Danio rerio: one gene and its partners. The main gene of each other region encodes a partner of the protein of the gene in region 2 in a complex. Links are inferred from orthologs where the notes say so. Each region holds a gene or a part of one and is shown on either strand. Other genes may lie near its edges.

What was found.
Region 1: timm21 (region 2) and timm17a share a complex: the UniProt entries of both Homo sapiens proteins name them as parts of the TIM23 complex. The link is inferred for Danio rerio from reciprocal best matches to the Homo sapiens genes TIMM21 and TIMM17A.
Region 3: timm21 (region 2) and timm17b share a complex: the UniProt entries of both Homo sapiens proteins name them as parts of the TIM23 complex. The link is inferred for Danio rerio from reciprocal best matches to the Homo sapiens genes TIMM21 and TIMM17B.

What each region holds. Positions count from the first base shown.
Region 1 is NC_133186.1:26,971,979-26,979,931, reverse strand, and holds the start of timm17a (mitochondrial import inner membrane translocase subunit Tim17-A), read right to left. Parts: upstream 4,714-7,953; 5' UTR 4,710-4,713; coding exon 4,684-4,709; intron 3,103-4,683; coding exon 3,003-3,102; intron 2,883-3,002; coding exon 2,819-2,882; intron 1,993-2,818; coding exon 1,864-1,992; intron 543-1,863; coding exon 432-542; intron 1-431. UniProt on the Homo sapiens protein: Essential component of the TIM23 complex, a complex that mediates the translocation of transit peptide-containing proteins across the mitochondrial inner membrane.
Region 2 is NC_133199.1:17,613,455-17,619,758, reverse strand, and holds part of timm21 (mitochondrial import inner membrane translocase subunit Tim21), read right to left. Parts: intron 4,153-6,304; coding exon 4,090-4,152; intron 2,708-4,089; coding exon 2,610-2,707; intron 494-2,609; coding exon 420-493; intron 334-419; coding exon 228-333; intron 148-227; coding exon 55-147; 3' UTR 1-54. UniProt on the Homo sapiens protein: Participates in the translocation of transit peptide-containing proteins across the mitochondrial inner membrane.
Region 3 is NC_133183.1:54,614,160-54,621,968, forward strand, and holds the start of timm17b (mitochondrial import inner membrane translocase subunit Tim17-B), read right to left. Parts: upstream 4,002-7,809; 5' UTR 3,980-4,001; coding exon 3,954-3,979; exon of another isoform or gene 3,911-3,953; intron 1,628-3,910; coding exon 1,528-1,627; intron 1,438-1,527; coding exon 1,374-1,437; intron 1,232-1,373; coding exon 1,103-1,231; intron 1-1,102. Other genes in the region: zgc:154046 (Carnitine O-acetyltransferase-like), read left to right, coding at 4,933-4,959, 5,661-5,939. UniProt on the Homo sapiens protein: Essential component of the TIM23 complex, a complex that mediates the translocation of transit peptide-containing proteins across the mitochondrial inner membrane.

The DNA of each region.
Region 1 (7,953 bases), on a different chromosome or scaffold from region 2:
TCAACATTTGAAGTAAATCAAAACCTTTTCTCAAAGTTGTCCTAAAACTATTCAACAATTTTCATTCTTTTTGTTGGACAATTTTGAAAAACTTCATTGATCCTCTTCAAATGTTTACTACTGTAGAAATAATGAAATACAATTAAACTATGTTGAAGCTACAAATGTAATAATTTCTAGTGCCCAAATGGTTTAAAAGAGCTTGGAATCATACACAGTCACAGGCCTTAAAAATTTCTAGTCTCTTAAGGTTAAACTTTGCATGAGCATGAACCGTGTTTCTTGTTAATTATAATACCAACTTGGCATTGCAGATATTGTAATGCAACTATTGTAGATTCACATATGGCAATATCAATGCTGGAACAATATATTGTGCATGCCTAAATTTGTATTTCAATTCGTCTCAGAGAATAATCTGCCACACTTACCAGTTGGGAATTGCGCTGAAGCAAACCTTGTGAGCAAAATTCCAGCACCTTCTATTAATGCGAGCAGTATTCCTCCCATTGCAGCAGAGCCAACCATGGCCACTGGTCCATCTGTGAAAAGACAGAAGATTAGAGGGGTGGTCCACTACGATATCATATTTTAAACTTTAGTTAATGTGTGACGTAGCTGTGTGAACATAAACAACATCTCTGAATGTAAAATGCTCAAAGTTCAATGCAAAGTGAGACTACAGCTGCATCTCAAATGGCACACTATACACTATGCACTTACACATTTAAAAGCATAGTATATGTATGTAGTGTTGTCCCAAATGGAACACCAATGTTTTTTTTTACTGAGCGGAAATTCCAACCCTTTCCCTAATGACGTTCGACGGTTGCTAAATCAGTGAAATAAATGACCAAACTATCAAATACCTGCAATGAGTATAACCGCATTCAACATCAGGAGGCGCTATAATCACTCTCGTGGGAAAATTTTGCTTTCACCACCCAAAAAAAATAAAGATATCCAACATGTGCGCCCGATAGCTCTGCCCCTTCCGCTACGTGAGCAAACCTGCGGTCATTAAGTGCGAAGTGTCCAATATTAGACACTTCATTTTACCGGCTAAATGAGTGCATTATTCGGGTAATTAAAGTGCACTTAACATTTTTCGAGTTTTCAGAGTAAACACACTACTTACACTATTTATACTACAAAATGGCGTAGAATAGTGCATAAGTATGCAATTTGGGACGCAGCTATTGGCTTAGGTGAACAAACCTACAGTGAACAAAGCTTGGGGACTACAAAAAAATACATCCGGGTTAATGATGTAATACACCCTTCAGTTTACGCACATACACCCCGCGCAGCGAAGGGGTGTGGCCAGAGGCACTGTAATGTTATAACAGAGATGATTCCTGGTGATGTGGAGCTGATCTGCGAATCACAGCACATTATGTTAGCTGACCAATCAGAGCTTCTTGAGGGCGGACCTTTTGGAGGAACTAGGAAATTTGAGTCTTTTTCATGTTAGCTGAGTAGCTGTATATAATCAAAGTAAGATGCATGAAAAAAACAATGTGATTTTTAAGCATGAGTAGACATTGCTTTGCACCCCATAAACACATCAAAGCCTTAAAAATACACCCCTTTAAAGTCCACATAAACCCAAAGCTGCGACCATTTTTTTCTTTGTTTTTTTGTATTATGACAGTTCCTAGAAGAAAAGAATATTAAATGAGAAAACTGTCACCGTGGCTTGTTTTTCTACTCCGAGTAGTAAGAAGAAAGATTGGGAAAAGGGTTTGAGGAGAGTTATTACAAGCTACAGACACCTTCTCACCATTTCTGTGTGTTGTTAATACTTTAGAAAAGATTAAAGACACCACAGCATTACCAGCTTTAGATCAGGATTTGACTCACTTCTTGCTGCTAAAATGGCTCCTGTCATGGCTCCACTTGTGATTGAGTTCCAAGGGTCTTCTTTGCCTCTCACTTTCACCAGCCCACAATCAATCATGGAGAACAGGCCACCCCATACAGCAAAGCTTCCTGATGTTCGAAGACAATTGAATGTCATGTGTTGTAAAAAAAAAAAAAAAAAAAAAAAACTGTATGGTCACTGAATGGATTTTTGAGCAAGCACAAAAAAGTGGGATGTAGATCATTATTCAATCTTTTAGACATACGAGACCACCAATTATTATCATCCTTGTCCAGGAGCTCTTCAGCATTAAGTTCAAAATATATTTCATAATTTAATTTAAAAAAAAAACATTGTCCAAAATGTTATGCACAGGCTGCACAAGCACATTAAATCATTTTTTGCTGTAATTGAAAAGGCTGTGCATATAAAACCAAACATATTTTGGGCTTAAAGGGATTTGTATAGGGTCTAAAATAAAGACCAAATTTACAATGTGAAATAATTATATTATAGATTTGATACATGTACTGTATTTACTAATTTATTTTAATTTATTTAAAACTTTCTAATATTAATTTTAAAGAAAATATTAAATGATCAAATGTTTATTTATATATTTATTTTAGATCCCTTTTAGATTATTTATTTGAATCTTATTTGATCCTGTTTTTGTGTGAATTAAACTTTTAAAAGAATTAATGCTTTGCTTTTTCTCCAGTCATTTTCACAGATCTTATGATATTAATTTGGTCACAGTTTAAAAAGCTGATGGCAAATAAACAAATTAATATGAAACGTGTTTTTAATAAAACCTTTTCAAACTTGTGTAATATACACAAACACAAATAGTTAAATCAGCTAATCAACAATACAATACAAAATAAAAAACCCAAACCTTATGAAAAGTATTGCATCACTCATGTGACAAATAACTTTAAACAAGATCATTACCTCCTAGTTGTGGAGCTCTGGTTCTTATGGCTGTCAAGCTACCCTTCATTCTGTGATTCATTCCCTAAAAAGATGAAAAACAAAAACAACATTCACCTTAACGCCAGGGACAATAACGTACAACCAAGCACTAATCATTTAGTTAAACAGCATTGCTTTAGTAGCAGCATCAAACATGACTCACAGAAGGAGAGTTTCTAAAGCCTTTAACTGCCTGAAAGATCCCTCCACCGATGGCCCCCATGGTGAAGGCGCCCCCACAGTCATCCACTATCCTCCAGGGACTGACAAACAACAGAGAGATGTCATGACATGTAGTGTTCATCTTTCCAACTAACAACTCTTGCAGTTCTTACAAAACAGTAAAATAGCATGATAAACGCATCACCAATGAAAATGTATTATGGTTGTGATAGAGGTAAAGTTGGTTTTATATTCGCAAATTCAGACTTTCCCCTTCATAATATGATTGTGATCGCTGCTCTAAAATATGTTCTTTTTAAATGTATGGGTGAAAAACAAAAACTTTTTCCCCCTTAAACGCAATATATAATTTTGTGAAAGATTTAAAATATTTTGGAGCAGTAAACATGTCAGGCTAAATAATTCAAATCAATCATTGACTTCTACTGTCTTCATTTGTTTTAAAAACTGCATCTTTGGATAGGTTTTCTGCTGGAGATACTGTTTTCCTAAAAAAAACAAAAGGTCAATAAAAACTCTTACACACACGTTAGGAACGGTATTATAGTAAATTTTGGCCTTGACTTTTCCAAACCGTAGTATATTTTGAAAAGGGTTATCGTCCCATGCCTAATTAGCAGCCAATGACTATCAAAGTACAACATTTTCAACAGTCAAATAAACAGTGTTAATGTTGTTTTCAAGTCATACCTGCAGTTTATTTCAGACCGAATATTTAAAGTGGCATGGTAAACAACATTGGGAGTGTGTCACAAGTTGTCACTGAACGAATGTGAGAATATAAAAATGACTTTACGTCTATATGGTTGTGGTACAAATAAAATGCATAACACATGATTTCTGTAGATAAACCATGCTAACTGTGAAATAACTATAGTTTTGCTACATTAACCATATCTTAGCCTTGGTATTTGCAGTAAATATTTATTATACAAATATTATCAATACAAATTTGCTTGAATAACAGGAAATTATTTAAAAAACAGTTTTTTTTTTTTTTATAAATAAGACATTTCATTAGTGTTTACTTTATACGTCCACCCTCATTTACTATGGTTTTCACTAAATAAGAAACTTTTTTGTAGTTAACATAGGGTAATGTGTGGTTATGTCATGGATAAAACAACGTTACAAAAACACGTCTTTTGGTATTATTCGTAGTAAAAACAAGTTTGTTAAAATAGTTTGCCTATTGCATATCTGATAAAACCAACAGTGATCAATAGGACCAAACAAGGTTATTACATTCTACATAGTTACTTCATAACTACATAGTTATTTACCGTAAGGCTACCCAGGTGATTTGCAGAAACCAGCAAGCATAACTGTAACGTATATTGTAATCTATATTCTGCGTTTAACAGTCGACGAATTTACACAACAGACATTTCTGGAAGACATTATACAAAAACAAAATCTAGTGATCTCTAAAGCCGGTAGAACAAGGTCATGTGCGGCACTGACAGCACGAAGCCTTCACTGAAGGGCATCGTGTTAAAAAACCTCCATCAAAACCACCATATCACAATATTGCGAGCGTCAGACACCCTGACAATTAATTACAGCGTAGAAATAACATACTACAGTATGACCGTTAGAGAAATAAAACCATATACATTCACTGAACGTATAAAATAATAGGTTTGAGGCTGTCGGCTCACCATGGCTCCCTCGCGTACTCCTCCATTTTGTTCTTTTCCCGTTCACAACTGACGTAACCAAGCACGTGCTGTTGCTGCAAGTGACGTAAGGTTCCTCGTGCGTTTTCTGCTGGTTCTTTCTGTGTGAACATTGCAAAGACGCCCCTCTAGTGGAGGAAGTTTTACAAACCAACAAACCATTCAAAGTCACAAAATGTGACTCAATTATATATTATCATTATCATATATCATCAGAGGTGCGCGACGTTGTCATTCGTTTGCCGGCAGCTGAGACTTGGGAGTATTCTAGTTTACGAGGACTCCTCTTTTCACTATGAACAACAAAGGTGAAAAAAGAGATCTTTGTGATCTTTTGCTCATGGTTTAAAGTTTTAAGAAAGATCACAAGTTACAATATTTAAAGTTGTACCTAATTAATTTAAGTGCTTTTTGAAAGTAATGTAACTGATGGTGTTTTTTTAATAACATTTCGAAATTTCTAATAAATGTTTTTAACTGCCAACACATAATCATAATGTAGCATTATTTTATTTTTTTACCTTGAAACCATTCTGATGGTAAGTACAAATTTAAAATCATAATATGAAATAGTTTTTATTTATTTATTTCATAATTAATGTTTTGAAATAATAGCTTTAATAAGAAACACTGTCATAACTGTTGGCTAGGCTATATAGGATGGTTGCACCATTTACCGGTACTATGGTAGTATCGTGACACTATGGCTCCAAAATACTGGCAATACCACTGTAGTTTGTATATGGTAGTATCGTCATTAATGGTCTATCTACAATAAATAATGTGTGTGGAAAAGTCACTAAATTGCTCACAAGTTTGTGCAACAATAGTCCATTTTATTAGAATAAAGCAGTCAAAGGTTGCAAAACTGTGTAAAATTTGCACCTTTTATGGTTTTTATGGTTTTACGATTTTTGACACTTCAGTTTAAACGCACATCTGAATCAGTTCATTTCTGTTCCTGTCAATATGATTTAGTAGCTACAACAAACACAACAATCTCTTAAAAACAACGACTCACAAAGTAAAAATTATAATTAGGCCTACTTTGGATTCTTACCTGATAAGGAAAAAATAAAAATAAAAAACAATAGATGAAAAACAAAAAGAGCAACAGGAAACATCGAAACCATTTTTGACCTCTTTTTATTGCCTAATTTGCTCTTTTTGTAATAAATTCTGTTCGGTATAATTTGTATCTTTATTTTAATGTATTATATTGATGTGCAAATACATTTTAGAATAATAAGAGAATTATGAATTCAATTCAAGTAGGCCTGTTATAACTTATAAAATAGCTTTTCTGATCATTTTCTTTATTTCATAAATTTGAGTTATGAATTACAGTATCGCAATACTACTTGGTATTACAATACTTAAGCTGGTAAAGTATTGTAATGTGAACTAGTGGTATTGCGACAACACTAATAGGAAATATATAGAACTAACTAACTACAGGAAACAAAACATTTATAGAATAGGCATGTTTCCTATTCTTTGTCCTAAACTGAACAAATTTAAACAAGAGAAAAAAATCGGAATATTTTCTAACTTCTTGAAGCTTTTTACAAAAAATATACAGATTTAACCAATTTAGTTGAATTTTACATTTTTCAGAAACTGTAATGGATAACAACAGTTACATTTTATTAAATTATGTAATGCCATTATAAATAACAAGTTACACCCCAACACTGCTCATTTTTATTCATTCGTTCATTTATTTTCTTGTCGTCTTAGTGCCTTCATTTATCCAGGGTTGCCACAGCGGAATGAACCCGCAACTTATCAAGCAAGTTTTTACGCAGCGGATGCCCTTCCTCTGGGAATCTCTGGGAAATGCTCATTTTTATGATGTTTATAATTAACATCTAATTATATCTGAAAAGTGTAAAATGTTATTAATAGCACTTCATCTTGCAAATTTATTTGATTCATTCATTCAATTTTCTTTATACCACCAACTCATCCAGCATATGTTTTACACAGCAGATTGCCCTTCCAGCTGCCTTTATTCACACACATACTCTATGGCCAATTTTATTTACCCAATTCACCTATAGCACAAGTGTTTGAACTGTGGGGGAAACCAGAGCACCCGAAGGAAACCCAAGCCAACACAGGGAGAACATGCAAACTCCACACAGAAACACCAACTGGCCCAGTCTTGTACCATTCTTGCTGTGAGGCCACAGTGCTAACCACTGAGCCACCGTGTCCAAATTGATTCTATTTGTATTTCTTTTATTAGAAAGCAATATTCAAGTTCATATCTTGCAAATAGATGTTGTCAAGTGGCAAGTGAATCAAAATGACCTGGCCCTAGTTTTTCCTAAACAGAAATATTTGGCTGGGTAATGGCTCTATGTTAAAGTCAAGAATCTCTCTTGCTCCTTGATGTTGCCTTGCTCTGAGTCCGACAGGCTGTTGGCTGTGTTTCCATTATTAGGAAGAGGGAAGGAATGATACGCAGACTGAGCCTGCATCGAGAAATGACCAAATATAGACATTTCAGCAGTGCTGAGGGTTAGTCCTGGCAATCAAAATATAAACTAGCTCGCTTTCAATCCAATCAACCTCCAGAGTTTGAAGGAGAAGTCATTTCTGAAAGAAAAAGTAGAAAGACCCCAGAGCAATTACTTCTAATCTATGCATTGAAAGAAGCATCTGTCATTCATCCCAAGAACATAATTCTACAATAAGACTTTGAAATTTGCGACCTGAAACCCGGTTCATTTATTATCTTACGTAACAAATGGTGGGCTCTTTTGTTACCCATGTTGTTCGTTTACTTTGGCTGTCCACCATAAGCTTCATGTATAGTTCTTTATTCTAGCAGTGACCAAATGAGCTAAGCAGAATTTCGTGACATTTCCAGGAATGCATTAGATCACTGGCTTTTTTATGCCTTTATTTATGCCTCTTGTATGAAGGGTATTCCGAATTCACTATAATCATCCATACAACCGTTGGTTGTTGAATCTGATTGGCTGATAATCGTGCAATATTCTGCAATAACAGCACTCGTACAGCCTCTTTACCCTTGTGTATTACTCCGTCCACATAGAGTGCCTAGCAAAGAAATAAACCTACTACAGTTTGACAAATATTGCTGCTGTCGGACAACATAATGTACTTTTGAGGCTTTTTTAGGCGAGAATGTAGTTGTTTGGATTGCAACTGGTACATAATAATATAATTTATCCTGTCTATGGTTATGAACTCGAAAGAACGCATGGCATATTTATGTTT
Region 2 (6,304 bases):
CTGTCTGCTACTGAAAATCATCAATATGCATTTAACACCGTTACAAAACTCGTTTCATCTGTTGTCTTCAATGACGATTGTTCTCCTCGGATATGTGTCTATCTCCACAAAAATATACCGAAATTCATACTTCCCTGTCTCAGGATTCTGTCACAAAGGAAAAACTGTAAAAAAACACATCTTTGCATGAAACAAACTTATTTTCTTTTTGTGATATTACATCATACCTCCTTTGATTCTGAATGAACAGTTCCTCGCAATCCTGGTTCAGATCCCTCAATGTAGAATTTCAGCCGCATGTACTTGAGTCCATCCTTCATGTACTCCAAATGACTAAAGAAAAAAAAAAACAAATATGTAATAATTGAGATATGAGATCTCACAGAAGAGTTTGAGTTTACTGATATTATGTATTTTACCTGACTTGTTGCCTTCTGCCACGTCTACTAGTTTCCCCAAAGCCTTTAATAGGCTCTCCAAAAGCTCCAATTACCTTAGCAAATATAGGTTAGCATAGAGTCACCATCAACATCGATTAAACGTATTTTATTTATTGTCAATACACATGTTGAGTATAGGGTAACGAAATGCAGTTAACATTTAACCAGAGTGCAAACATACTCAAGTTAAATGTGCATGCATCCGGAAAATATTCATAGCGCTTCACTTTTTCCAAATTTTTTTATGTTACAGCCTTATTCCAAAATGGATTGAATTCACTTATTTCCTCAAAATTCTACACTCAATACCCCATAATGACAATGTGCAAAAAAGAGTTTTTGAAATTGTTGCAAATTTATTAAAAGTAAAAAAACCTGAAAAATCACATAAACATAAGTATTCACAGCCTTTGTTCAATCCTTTTTTATGCACCTTTAGCAGCAATTACAGCCTCAAGTCTTTTTGAATATGACGCCACAAGCTTGGCACAGGTCTTTGGGATTTTTTGCCCATTCCTCTAGCACTACCTCTCAAGCTCTATCAAGTTAAAAAGGAAGAAACGGTGTACAGCCATTTTCAGATCTCTCCATAAGGTTCAATAGGATTTAAGTCTGGGCTCTGGCTGGACCACTCAAGAACATTCACAGAGTTGTTGTAAAGCCACTCCATATTTTGGCAGTGTGTTTTGGGTCATTACCCTGCTGGAAGATGAACCATTGCCCAAGTCTGAGGTCAAGAGCACTCTGAAGCAGGTTTTCATTCAGGATGTCTCTGTACATTGCTGCATTCATCTTTCCCTCTATCCTAACTATTCTTCCAGTTTCTGCGGCTGAAAAACATGGTATGGTATTAGCCTGGAGATGAGCAGTACATGGTTTTCTCCAAACGTAACGCATGGCATTCACTCCAAAGAGTTCAATTTATGTCTCATCAGACCAGAGAATTTTGTTTCTTATGCTCTGAGAGTCCTTCAGATGCCTTTTGGCAAATTCCAGATGGGCTTCCATCTGGCCAATCTACCATACACAGATCTACTTGCTACACAGATGGTTGTCCTTCTGTAAAGTTCTCCTCTCTCCACAGAAGAACGCTGAAGCTCAGACAGAGTGACTATCGGGTTACTGATCCCCTCCCTGACTAAGGCTCTTCCACCCGATCACTCAGCTTAGATGGCTGGCCAGCTCTAGGAAGAGTCCTGGTGATTCTAAACATCTTCTACTTACGCATGATGGAGGCCACTGTGCTCATTGGAACTTTCAGAGCAGCAGAATTTTTTTCTGCAACCCTCCCGAGTCTGGAGACAATCCTGTCTCTGAGGTCTACAAACAATTCCTTTGTCTTCATGCTTGGTTTGTGTTTTGACATGCACTGTCAACCCTGAGACCTTATATAGACAGGTGTATGCCTTTTCAAATTCAAATCATGCCCAATCAACTGAATTTACCACAGGTGAACTCCAATTAAGCTGCTGAAACACCTCATGAATGATCAGTGGAAACAGAATATACCTGAGCTCAATTTAGAGCTTTATGGCAAAGGCTGTCAATACTTATTTTCATGTGATTTTTCAGGTATTTTATTTTTAATACATTTTAAACAATTTCAAAAACTCTTTTTTTCACAGTGTCATTATGGGGTATTGTGTGTAGAATTGAGGAAATAAATAAATTTTATTCACTTCGGAATAAGGCTGTAAAAAAATGTGTGAAAAAGGAAAGCGCTATGAATACTTTCTGGATGCACTGTAATTTATAGGTTTACTTAATATAGACTGTGGAGAGGTAAGCATGATCGAACACCCAATAAAGGGGGAGAGCATGCTCAGAGCCCGGCGGCTAATCAGCAGGCCAATCAGAAATAATAAGCAACACCTGTTTATTCTAGTTTTTGGCCTGCTGATTAGCCGCCAGGCTCTGAGCATGCTCTCCCCCTTTATTGGGTGTTCTATCATGCTTACCTCTCAACATAGACATATTATAATGTTTAAATGAGGTAAAAGATGTACTGTATGCACACTACAGTAGAAAAACTATGAACATATGTTACAGATGAATATGATTAGCTCAATATGATTAGATCACAAGTTGTAGTCAACAGGCTGATTTATTCATGCATTTCAGACATTAGGTTTACACATATGTGATATATATAGCTAATGAATCACTGACCTCTGGATGAGATCTGCACCTCTCGAAAGCTTTTCCATAGATTTTGCTTGGGCTTGAAGAGGAAAAGAGTTCTTGAAAGACCACATACAGCAGGCCACCTAAAGCGATTAGAAAACATTAATCGGTTCACTTATTATACTGCTGAATAATATGTATATACAAATTAAAAAAAATATGCATAGAAATGATTATAACCTGCCTGCCTGCCTGAATTGCTAAAAGGTTCCACAGTTTTGCAAAGTGATGGCTTTATCATGTTATGACTATGGCTAGCTGTATTGACACAATATATATATATATATATATATATATATATATATATATATATATATATATATATATATATATATATATATATATATATATAGTAAAAAGTGCTATATAAATACATATGAATTTAACTGATTTGTATGATTATAATGTCTGTCTCATGTATTGTATTTGAGTCAGTGTTATCGTTAACAAAAAAAAAGACTTTGGAGCTGAAATGAAATATAAATACTTGTTTATTTATATGTTATATGGCGCAGTAGGAAGTGTTGTAGCCTCACAGCTAGAAGGTCGCTGGTTCGAACCTCGGCTCAGTTGGCGTTTCTTTGTGGAGTTTGCATGTTCTCCCTGCCTTTGTGTAGGTTTCCTCCGGGTGCTCTGGTTTCCCCCACAGTCCAAAGACATGCGGTACAGGTGAATTGGGTAGGCTAAATTGTCCGTAGTGTATGAGTGTGTGTGGATGTTTCCCAGAGATGGGTTGCGGCTGGAAGGGCATCCGCTGTGTAAAAACTTGCTGGATAAGTTGGCGGTTCATTCCGCTGTGGCGACCACAGATTAATAAAGGGACTAAGCCGACAAGAAAATTAATGAATGAGTTCAAAGTTGTTAAGATCACTATGTGCGTGGAAAAATATCATACACAAAATTACTAAAATCATTAAAAAAAAAAAAACTACTGAACAATAATAAACTATAATGAAGTAGTTGTTAATTTTAGTAATTTTGTTGCATTTTTATTAAATAGTATTTGGTTATTACATAATATATGTAAACAGATAATTTTGTCTTTAAGCAATACATTGCAAATTTCTTAACATGTTTAAACCATTGCAAGCATTACTAGAACGAATGACCATTTACTACATAGCCACATGTATGTTTTAGCATATTCATAACATATACTGTTATTAGCATGTTTTAATGCAAATGAGTTAGCATTTTGTCAGCATAACAAAAATGGTTAGCATTCCTAGAATGTCTAAACTCATGACCTGCATGTTGCTAAAATTAATTACTATGTTAGCAATAATGAACATTTTGCTGATACAAAATCCAAAGTGAATAAAATATAACTAATATCACTATTTAGACATCATCCTGTTATCATCATTAGGAAATGCATGTTGGTGCTTTCTGTTGGTTTTCTGGCACAGTAAGAACAGAGAATGGGGCCCTGAAACATAAGAGTCGTCAATCCAGACCTGGTTACCTGTTACACCGAGTCCAATGAGCACTACGATCAAATAGGTGAAATCTTTGCCAGCTTGTTTAACTGTTGAGGAAAGGAGACATTTATTTACTGAACAGCTACAATTCAATCTACAAGTAAATTTTTACAAATATTATTTTACTGCAATTTTGTAATGCCTATAAAATCACAATGGCTAGATTTATTTGTGATTTTGTTTTGTAACAATCCTCAACTAACAATGATGGGCAGTCCTTTTGTATTTTTTTTAATCAAAACTGTACTGTTTACTTCACTATCAGTACTTTATTAAAGTTTTTTTTTTTATTTTAGAAAATGTTTACTTTTAATTACCACTACTACTACATTTGAGTCCAAAACATTGTACCAAATCGTACCGAATTATTCATTTTTAAACTGGACCAATCTGATTGCATCTGTTATTGGGTCAACAAATTCTGATTCAAATAAACCATTTAGATTGAGCATTTAGTAATACATTAACTGCATTTACTAACTAATTATAAAAATGAGTCAATGTTTCCAACATTCTTCTTTTCTTCATTTCTTCTTCTTTTATGGAAAAAAAAGGTTAACTCATTTAGAACAAGTCTAAGTGAGTAAATCATGACATAATTTCAATTTTTGGAAGTACCCTTTAAAAATTGAACAAAGTTACAATAACAGAAAAATAATGTTTTTTTTGTTGTTTGTTTGTTTTTACTGCTGAAGTACATTACAGATATAAAATTGTCAGTTACATAGCATTCTTCATAAAATGTTAACACATTTCTCCCTGTTACACCTTTTGTATATTGTATGTTTACAATGTATTTGGGCTATTATCACTATAAAGTGCCTTTGATGTCTCACATGATTGAATCAGTCCTATATGAACTTAATGCGAAATAATGAACTTCTGATGTTTTAATATAATTGGTAAAACCTTTACACACAAGCGGGTAGAATTAGAAGTGTTTTGAAATATGTCTGTCAAATTTTCCAATATTCTTTTACTGAATGAATGTGATTTTTCCATGTCCCACACACTACACAGCCAACTTCAGTGAATCTAAAAAGTAGGTAAATTAGATAAAATTGAAAAGATTAAAAAAAAAAACAAGTTAAGTCTTAAACAAGTTATTTGTTAAAATATGTCATTTTGATAACGTTTATTTTGTTTTCATAACATTATTAACCATTTTGCATTGGTCCTTAAAATTGTTGTCCACTCCATCATAATGTAGTAAATGCTCGAATAAGAAACCCTCTACAGAGGAGGTTAAAACATCTGCTGTTCGGCCTGTCACAATAATCAATATATTGACTTATCGTACAACACACAGACATGTTTTCAATCATTTTTGGTGATGCAACATATATCGCCCATACATGAAAAACTATTCTAGTTCTAGCCACATTGTAGCTGATTACGTTTATAATCTGTCAGTGTTAGTATGGTTAAAAAAAACACTATAGTATTTACTATTAATTATTATAGTATTAGTATATAGTATTAATATTATTATTTATTTGTTTAGGATATACGTTTTCTATGAAATTACAATACCTAATTATTAAATTGTTAAAATGACTATAATTAAATATTCTTAAGAATAAAATATTGTGTTCTTTGGAGGGGTGTACTTGCATTACGATGCTATTATAGTGTCAAAATGGTCTTAAAATAATGATAATATTGTTTATCGCAATAACATTTGTTGCTATATATCAAACCACAAAAAATAGATACCATGACAGGCCTATCTGCTGTGCACACAGTAAGTATCTAAACTAACTTTCGTTTCCTATTTTTCCCCATATTGTGTTTGAAACTGAATATTGTCAAGCTTAACATTTCCACCATGTCACAGTGAAATATGAATGAATAAAATAATAATAAAAAAAATTAAAAATCTGAAAAAAAAAAAATTAAGCTTTTAAACTGTGTACAAAGAGCATATTTAGGAGGCACTTTATCAGCTGCAGGTAAAACATGTGTTGAAGAAATGCTATCTTTAGCCAAACAATGTCCTGTCACAAATCATTTTCTTTTTTTATTGACACTTTATTTATTTAATAAAATGTATTTTTTTAATGTATTTATTTATTGTTAATTAGTTAGTTTTATGTAACAACTCTTATACACACATACTTTACCAGCAATATCTTTCTCAGTCTATATAAAGGATATCCTTCTAAAGTCCATATAAAGGAGCTCATTGACTGTTTGAAA
Region 3 (7,809 bases), on a different chromosome or scaffold from region 2:
TCAGTTGCATCACCCCATGGCACATTTGCTATTTACATGGCGGACTTTGTAAGTGGAAAAACTGAAAGCTTCACTCGCGAGAAAGCAGCTAAACAGACCATCTGCAGCGCAAGGATAAAGAATGAGCCTGCTATAATTGGCCTTTACTTTCACTTTCTCTATTTCGTGGATAAGGAAACGGTGTTGTATGAGTCAAAATATTTAATTTTGTTTGTTAAGCGCAAAGATTTGTTTCAAAACTATTTACAAATTCAGTTCAATTTCCAGAAAATGAATAAATAAGCAATAATAATGAAGTGTGGTCAGTTATATCCAAACAAATGTGCTATGCCCTATATGGTCCAAAACCTGAGGGGTGGGCAAATCCAAGCTTTTTTAAAAAATAAAACAGATAAAAATAATCATATAATAAGTAATACTACTACTAATAATAACATTTTACAAAAGCAAAAACTTAAACTAAAAAAGCCCCCTGAGATAAAGAAGACATGGAGGCAGTGTTTTTTATATTTATGTAGAAAATAATAAGTTTTGTAATATTTAAATCTTTTAATTCTTTCATTTGTAAAGATATTTGTGTATTCCATCTTGCGTGTATCAAGCAATGTGTAAGTGGGGCACACAACAAACGCGCTCTGCGCTGGACTTTAGACTTGCTTTTAGCTGGTCAATTACAGTCTAATTTAGTTCCTCAAAATAGCAACACGCCAACAAAGCTCCTTAACGCACTTCTTTTCTAGAATGAAACACCTATGAGTCCACAAAGTGGCACAAATGGATTTGCTACTTAATGCTAGAGTTGCATTGATCTGAAATTAGCAACACGTCGGTGCAAACAAGTCTTGCACCTTATTGCGCTGGGTGTATGATAGGGCCCATTGTTTTTCATGCATAAAGCACACCTCACAAAGAATTCATTTTCAAATCAAACAGATTTCTCTTTGTGAACAAGATGAATTTGCATGTCCAACTTAAATGCAGTGTTTGGTCAGTTTTAAAACACCACTCTCATGAATTGTCCTAGTGAAAGTTTGCTTGACAACATTATATGTGTCATTACCTTCAAATTCTAACAGAGTTATAATAACTGTGCTAAACTTACTACGTGCTGCTAGTATAGCTCCGGTCATTGCCCCACTGGTAATGGAGTTCCAAGGGTCTTCCTTACCCCGCAAACGCACAAGACCACAGTCTATGGTTGAAAACAGTCCTCCCCAAACAGCAAAACTACCTACAAACACACACACACACACACACACACACACACACGCTGTAATTTATAATGAATAACTGCTAAACAAATTTTTAATTGTCATATGCAGTACAAAAACAGAGAAACAACAAAACAATAAAAAAAAATTCTGAATACTCGCCTCCAATTTGTGGTGCCCTTACTCTCACTGCATTTGCGCTACCTCTTAACCTGTGTCGAACACCCTATAAAAATACAGTATTTTTCTTTTATAATAAATGCATTGCATTGTGTTTTGGTAATAGCGGAGTCGTCTGTTTGACAGTAAAACATACCACAGGTGCATTCCGAAATCCTTTGACAGTCTGAAACACCCCTCCTCCAATGGCTCCCATGGTAAAAGCACCCCCACAGTCATCAACTATCCTCCATGGGCTAAAAAGAAAATTACCTGTTAGAAGTCAACTGCATTATATACTGTACCTTAATTAATCAATTCAATAGACTCAAAATTACCGAAATAATCTTCAAATCATCTAAAATAACTTTGAAGAGAAACATCAATTACTGTACACAATCCAAGGTCTTTGCTTATGTATGTATATATATATATATATATATATATATATATATATATATATATATATATATATATATATATAAGCAAATGTATATATATATATATATATATGTATGTGTGCGTGTGTATATATGTGTGTGTGTGTATGTATATGTATATATATATATATATATATATATATATATATATATATATGTATGTATGTATATATATATATATATATATATATATTTACACACACACACAGTTGAAGTCAGAAACACAGAATTTTTAGTTACCCTTTTAATTTTATTTTACTTTTAATTTTTTTCACAAACTATGTTTAACAGTAAGCCTTTAAATGTCCCATTAAGCTGTACAAAAGTGTCTTCAAAAATATCTAGTAAAATATTATTTACTGGCATCATGGCAAAGATAAATCAGGCATTAGAAATAAGTCAATAAAATTGGGGAAAAAGTAACAGGGGGCCAATAATTCTGACTTCATTTGTGTGTGTTTGTGTATAAAAAGTAGGCTGCACTATATTAATTAGTGCAATGCAAGTGAATAGGCTGCACTATATTTAGGCTGGACTATATTTAAATTTATTGTCACTTCAGCTTCTCCGGCTATATCATGGCAAAAACCAGATCAAATTGACAACATTTTATAAATATCACGTTTCTAAAAAATAAAAGACATCAAAAGCAATAAATAATGCATAAAATAAAAAATCTGAAACTTTTTTTAAGGTTTACTTTTGATAAAAAATAAAAAATTTTCAAAAGTTCTTTAAAGTTTCTTTAGATAAAAATAATTGTCTGATAACATAAAAAATAGGTTATTCCAAAAATATGTTTAACAGTTTTGGTTTGTTTTGCAGCATTGACATTTTGGGGGAAATTATCCTTGAGTGAGTCCATTAATGAGTCATTCATGTGTCCAATACAGCATTTTGTGTAAACAACCTTATCATGTTTTAAAAAATGAGTTAAAAATACTTTGATTTTGTTCTATTTGTTCCCCTATTGTTTTATAATTCAACAGGGGAGTGAATTATGCATTCAAAAACAAACAACTTACAAGAAGATAAATACAGTAAAATGAAATAAACATGGCTTTATGTTTTTCTGGGTTGTCAAGCAGTATTCAGGTACTGAATAAAAAACAAAGTGTGCTATTTCTTGTGACTGCTTTAAAAACATGCAAATTATAAACTTTCACTAAATCATGGTTAAAGTCAACAGTGACCCCACAAATCTCATGTACTCGGAACTGTAGCTCCTGCTCAACTATAATCGCAGCTCAACATTGAACATCCTGCGATGTGAGTATTGTAGGTGTGCACATGATATCAATGTTGAAACAATTGTGCAACCCTTGCTTGAAGGTGAAATATTAAATTATTTCTATTAGGTAATTAACTAGGTAAATACATTTGGTATTGATACTAATGTTTCAAGGTGAACAACAAGTTTACTTGCTTATATGCACAATGTACTGCTTTTGGGTGATGTTTTAAAAATGACAAAGATTTGATCATAAAACTAATCATTTAGATATCTTTCCAGAGAAATTGAGTAACATTTTATTGAAGTAGTCTGTTATGTTAATTAAAAAAAAAAACTTTGGATTGCATTAAATTTAGCCTACCATATTATTTATATGATTCCTTTTGAAGACTATAGAATACAAAGAAAAAATGGACTTACAAAAGAAAAGGTATTCTTCATTGTAGTAAATGCAAATCACGGTCATTGTTTAATATCTGGAGTAATGTCTTACATTAACAGGACTTTTCACTGTTCAATATGACATATGCCTTGCAGAAAAAAGTGATTTAAAATATCTTCCATCAAAAACGTATACATTATCCCACAACAGATTTACAATACGGCTAAACATTAGGCACTGTATGTTCATTTTCATATATACATCTGATAGACGACCTAAGGATTTTGAATAAATAAATAAATAAATAAATAAATAAAGGCTAAAGCATTCAATCCAGTGTGTGATTCGAGAAATGTATCAAAGCTACACAAATTGTTATAGTATTTAGCAGGGTACTTTAGAGAGAATGACAGCAAAGAAGCAAACGATCCAAGCGAAAATAGAAATCATAAACTTCTTAAAATTATATACGTCCTGTCGTGACCTGAAGCGCGGACGGACTCATCAGAAGTCAGCAGGTACTTTACCAGGGTTCACGGGCATATTCCTCCATGATAAACAGCTAACGTCAAATCGGTTACGCATTTTGTCCGCGACAGGTAGATCAGCAACCTGAAACTTTTTAAAGGACACGTACATAAACCCTCTATGGAGTTTCATTTATTGTACATGTTAGCCTGCTAATTAATTAATATGGGCTAAATTGTACTAAACAACAGTATATTTTATATATGTTTCATGTCGACACTGAACACGTTTTATTATATTCTAAAAACAAGCGACATTAAAACCTGGTTAATCTAAATTACATTTAATGAGAATTAAATAATTTCAGCTGAACAAAAGGAAAAAAGACGCCATTAATGCTTTCGAAAGTAACCTTTATTGGTAACGTTAGCGTCCTCACACCTTTTGCGCTGCAAAACACTAGAGCGTTTTATTTAAAGTTTCACATAAAGTAGCTCCACCTGAGAAGTTATGTCAAATATGATGTCAATGTTCTGCAACATTCACAGAGTTTACAGATCGTATGTCTGACTAAAAAACGGCGTTTTATAAGTTATTTCCAATGAGTTATGAAAAGTATTTTGAACGCAGTCTGTTGTTGTATTGACAGTCGCTTAGTGATGACGTTGCGAACGTCCAAACAGGTCACACAGACCGATAGACGGCAATGTTTTTTTTTTGTTTTTTTAGTCCGATTGACCACTAAATAAAAGACCACTCTAGATTATAGGCTAATAAAACTGTATATTAATTACTGAACAGTCTTGAAATCTTTAAACAGTCGTAAGACTTGTCAACACAGTGCAAGCTATTCGGGGTCAAAATTAACTGGTATCTCGGTAACGTTAGTTGTAGTTGTCAATCTTATTCAAGCGAGGGCGACAGTGTACGACTAGTCTGGCAACTTGTCAAGAAAGTTTTGGTCGCCCTTGAAAGCTCATAATGTCGGGGACACCCACTTCAGCTGTCAACTGAAATCTACAGGATTCGCGTGGAATTATGCTGTGTCTCTTAAGCAGAACAGCGGTAAGTGCCGTTTATTACAGCATACAACTTACTGACATTAAATAAACGCAATGCCTTTAACAGTTAAGCGAACGCCTTGCCAAATGCGCCAGTGGTAGCAGCAACGTCCCATCTATAGCATTTATTGTGTTTTTACTTTATATTTACTTAATCTGAGACATTTTATTTATTACTATGTGACGTTACGTTCCAATAAACATAACAAACGAATTATTAGATGTTAAAATGGTCCGTAATTAGAGGACAAATCAGCAACAAAAAATGTCAAGGAGGTTGTCAAGAACAGTGGCACTATGTATCCTACTTTTGACAGCGGGGCAGATCGACATAATGCATCCATCAGTCTTACAAGTTTAGATTTGAATTGTGTTGGAAGGTCCCATGCAAAGTTCAGATGCAAAATTAAGCCTCAAAGTGCTGCCTGAGATCTACTTCTAAAATTAGCTTTTTTTTTTTCTTTTTTTTTTTGGATAAAGTTATGTAACTTAAAGGCGATTAAAATAACATACATAGAAATAAAATTTAAATGAACAAACCTACAAACAGCCTGAGGGAAAAAATGCTAATTTTAGGAAAATTCATATTTAGGAATACACACACACATTGGTTTCTGTATTTTAAAAATAACCTGATACATTGTTTTATTTTTATGAAGATTATTGCAGGTTCAGTTATAATTGTTATAATAATTGCATTCTTAGGCAAGGACGGGCCTGGTGAAACATTGCCGTCTACTGAGTCCCATACCAGTTGTCCAAATTTCTGACCGGTCGCTGTTACATCAAGAAAGTCTGCCAAAGCTACCCGTTCCTCCACTGAAGCAAACATGTTCTCGATATCTGGCCTTGCTCGAACCACTAATCAGTGAGGAGGAGATGGCACACACATGCAAGCTCATGGACGAATTTCTACAACCTGGTGGTGTAGGAGAGAGACTTCAAAAGAGTTTGGAGAGACGGGCGCGCAAAACTGAAAACTGGGTGTGTATAATGCATGGATGTCTATTTGTAAGGGCAACTGGTGTCCTTGGTTTCCTGGTGTGAAATTTAGTAATAATAGTTTTTTAGTATTTTTGATACTGTGCACAAAATTCTATACTTTGGACCCACGTATAGTTTGCTTTAGGGCTGCAACTAACAATTATTTTAATAATAGATTAATCTGTCAATGATTTTGTAGATTAATTGATGAATCGGATAAAAAAAAGAAAAGTATTCATTTCCAGCCTTTTTTTAAAAAACAGAACTAAAATCTTTAGAAAGTGCACAAACATGTTGTCCTTGAACATCTCTGAGCTGTTATAATAATAATAATAATAAAATAAAAAGTTTTCAATCCAAATATCTAAAAAGACTTTAAGTTTAACTCACTCATGTTTGTCATGTGACACACCACAGCCACAATGTATGACAGATGTATCCCTTTTATTATGCTTTACCGTTTTAATACGAAATATTTACATGCTTGCTCATAGCACATATAAATGGTCTTGATCATGATTTATTCCGTGATCTAAACGCTCGTTTGTCTCATTCATAAAAGCAAAACATGCAGGATTCAGCATGTATATTCATCAGTTACTCCCAGAATGCATGTAAGCAAGTGCCTGGCCAGCTTGGAGAAGAATAGATAGAACCTTATTGTTACTTTCACTATGCGTATCTGATATGAATGATACACATCAGCAAATTATATTTAAATGGATTGTTAGAATTTCATAGACTTTCTTTTGTGTTTTGCAAACTTTAAATGTATTATTTTACTGGTACTTGTGTGTATTTACAAGTCTAAAACATAAAATAAGCATTGGCTGGTTAAAAACAGTGTGTAATTTTGATAATATGACAAGTCTTTCTCTGGCTCAGTGCCAACCAACGCACCAAAGCTCAGTTTGAATTTTTCATGTCATGTTCCTCACTTCAAAATGGAAAAGTAGAATTCTGTAGTGATTTATCCTGTTGTTGCTCTTTTCTTCTGCATGTATCTTTCTTCTAACGTTACCTCCTCCTGTTTTTTTGCTCCATCCTGTTTATGAGGCGCCGAACTCTGGCATCAGTGCGCGAGAGAAGCAGACTAAAGTTGTTTTAATAATCAAACGTCTCTGTGTCATGCGACATGGCGAATCTATTATGAAGTTCGTTGCCATCGCTTTTAGTAATCAATTTTAATCAATTCGTTGTTGCAGCCCTAGTTTGCTTTATAGTACTGATTCGAAATTAATTTACATTAATACATTAGCATTTCATTAGCATGAAACATTTAAACAAAATTGTCAAAGCCCTAGCTGCCAAAAGTGGACAGTCACACAATCCTAATCGCTAAAGGAAAAACCAAAACACTATACATGTTTAACCGATGAACATTGAAAAATAAGTGTAATAAGTTGTCACGTTAGATTTGAGGCTAATAATAATTAGTTTTAAATCTTTAAATAGCTGTAAAGTCTTGCCAACTTAGTGCAAGCCATTCAGGGTTAAAATTAAATGGTATCGTATTCAAGCGATGGTGACCGTGTACGACCAGTCTGGCAACTTGTCAAGAAAGTTTTGGTTGCCCTTGAAGTGCATAATGTCGGCAGTCAGGACCAACTTCAGCTGTCTACTGAATTGTACAGGATTTGCGTGGAATTGTGCTGTGCCTTTTGACCAGAACCGCGGTAAGTGCTGGTCATTAAATCAGACCTCCTAGTTTTCAGCGATTCCGCAATCGCTGAGTCCAATCAAAATTATCAAAAAGTTGCAAATTTTTGCAATCTTTCAAAATTCTTAATTTAAATTGCAAAATAATTACAAAAATGTAAATGATTTCATAAAACATCAAATTCCAAACCAAATAATGAAAATATATTTA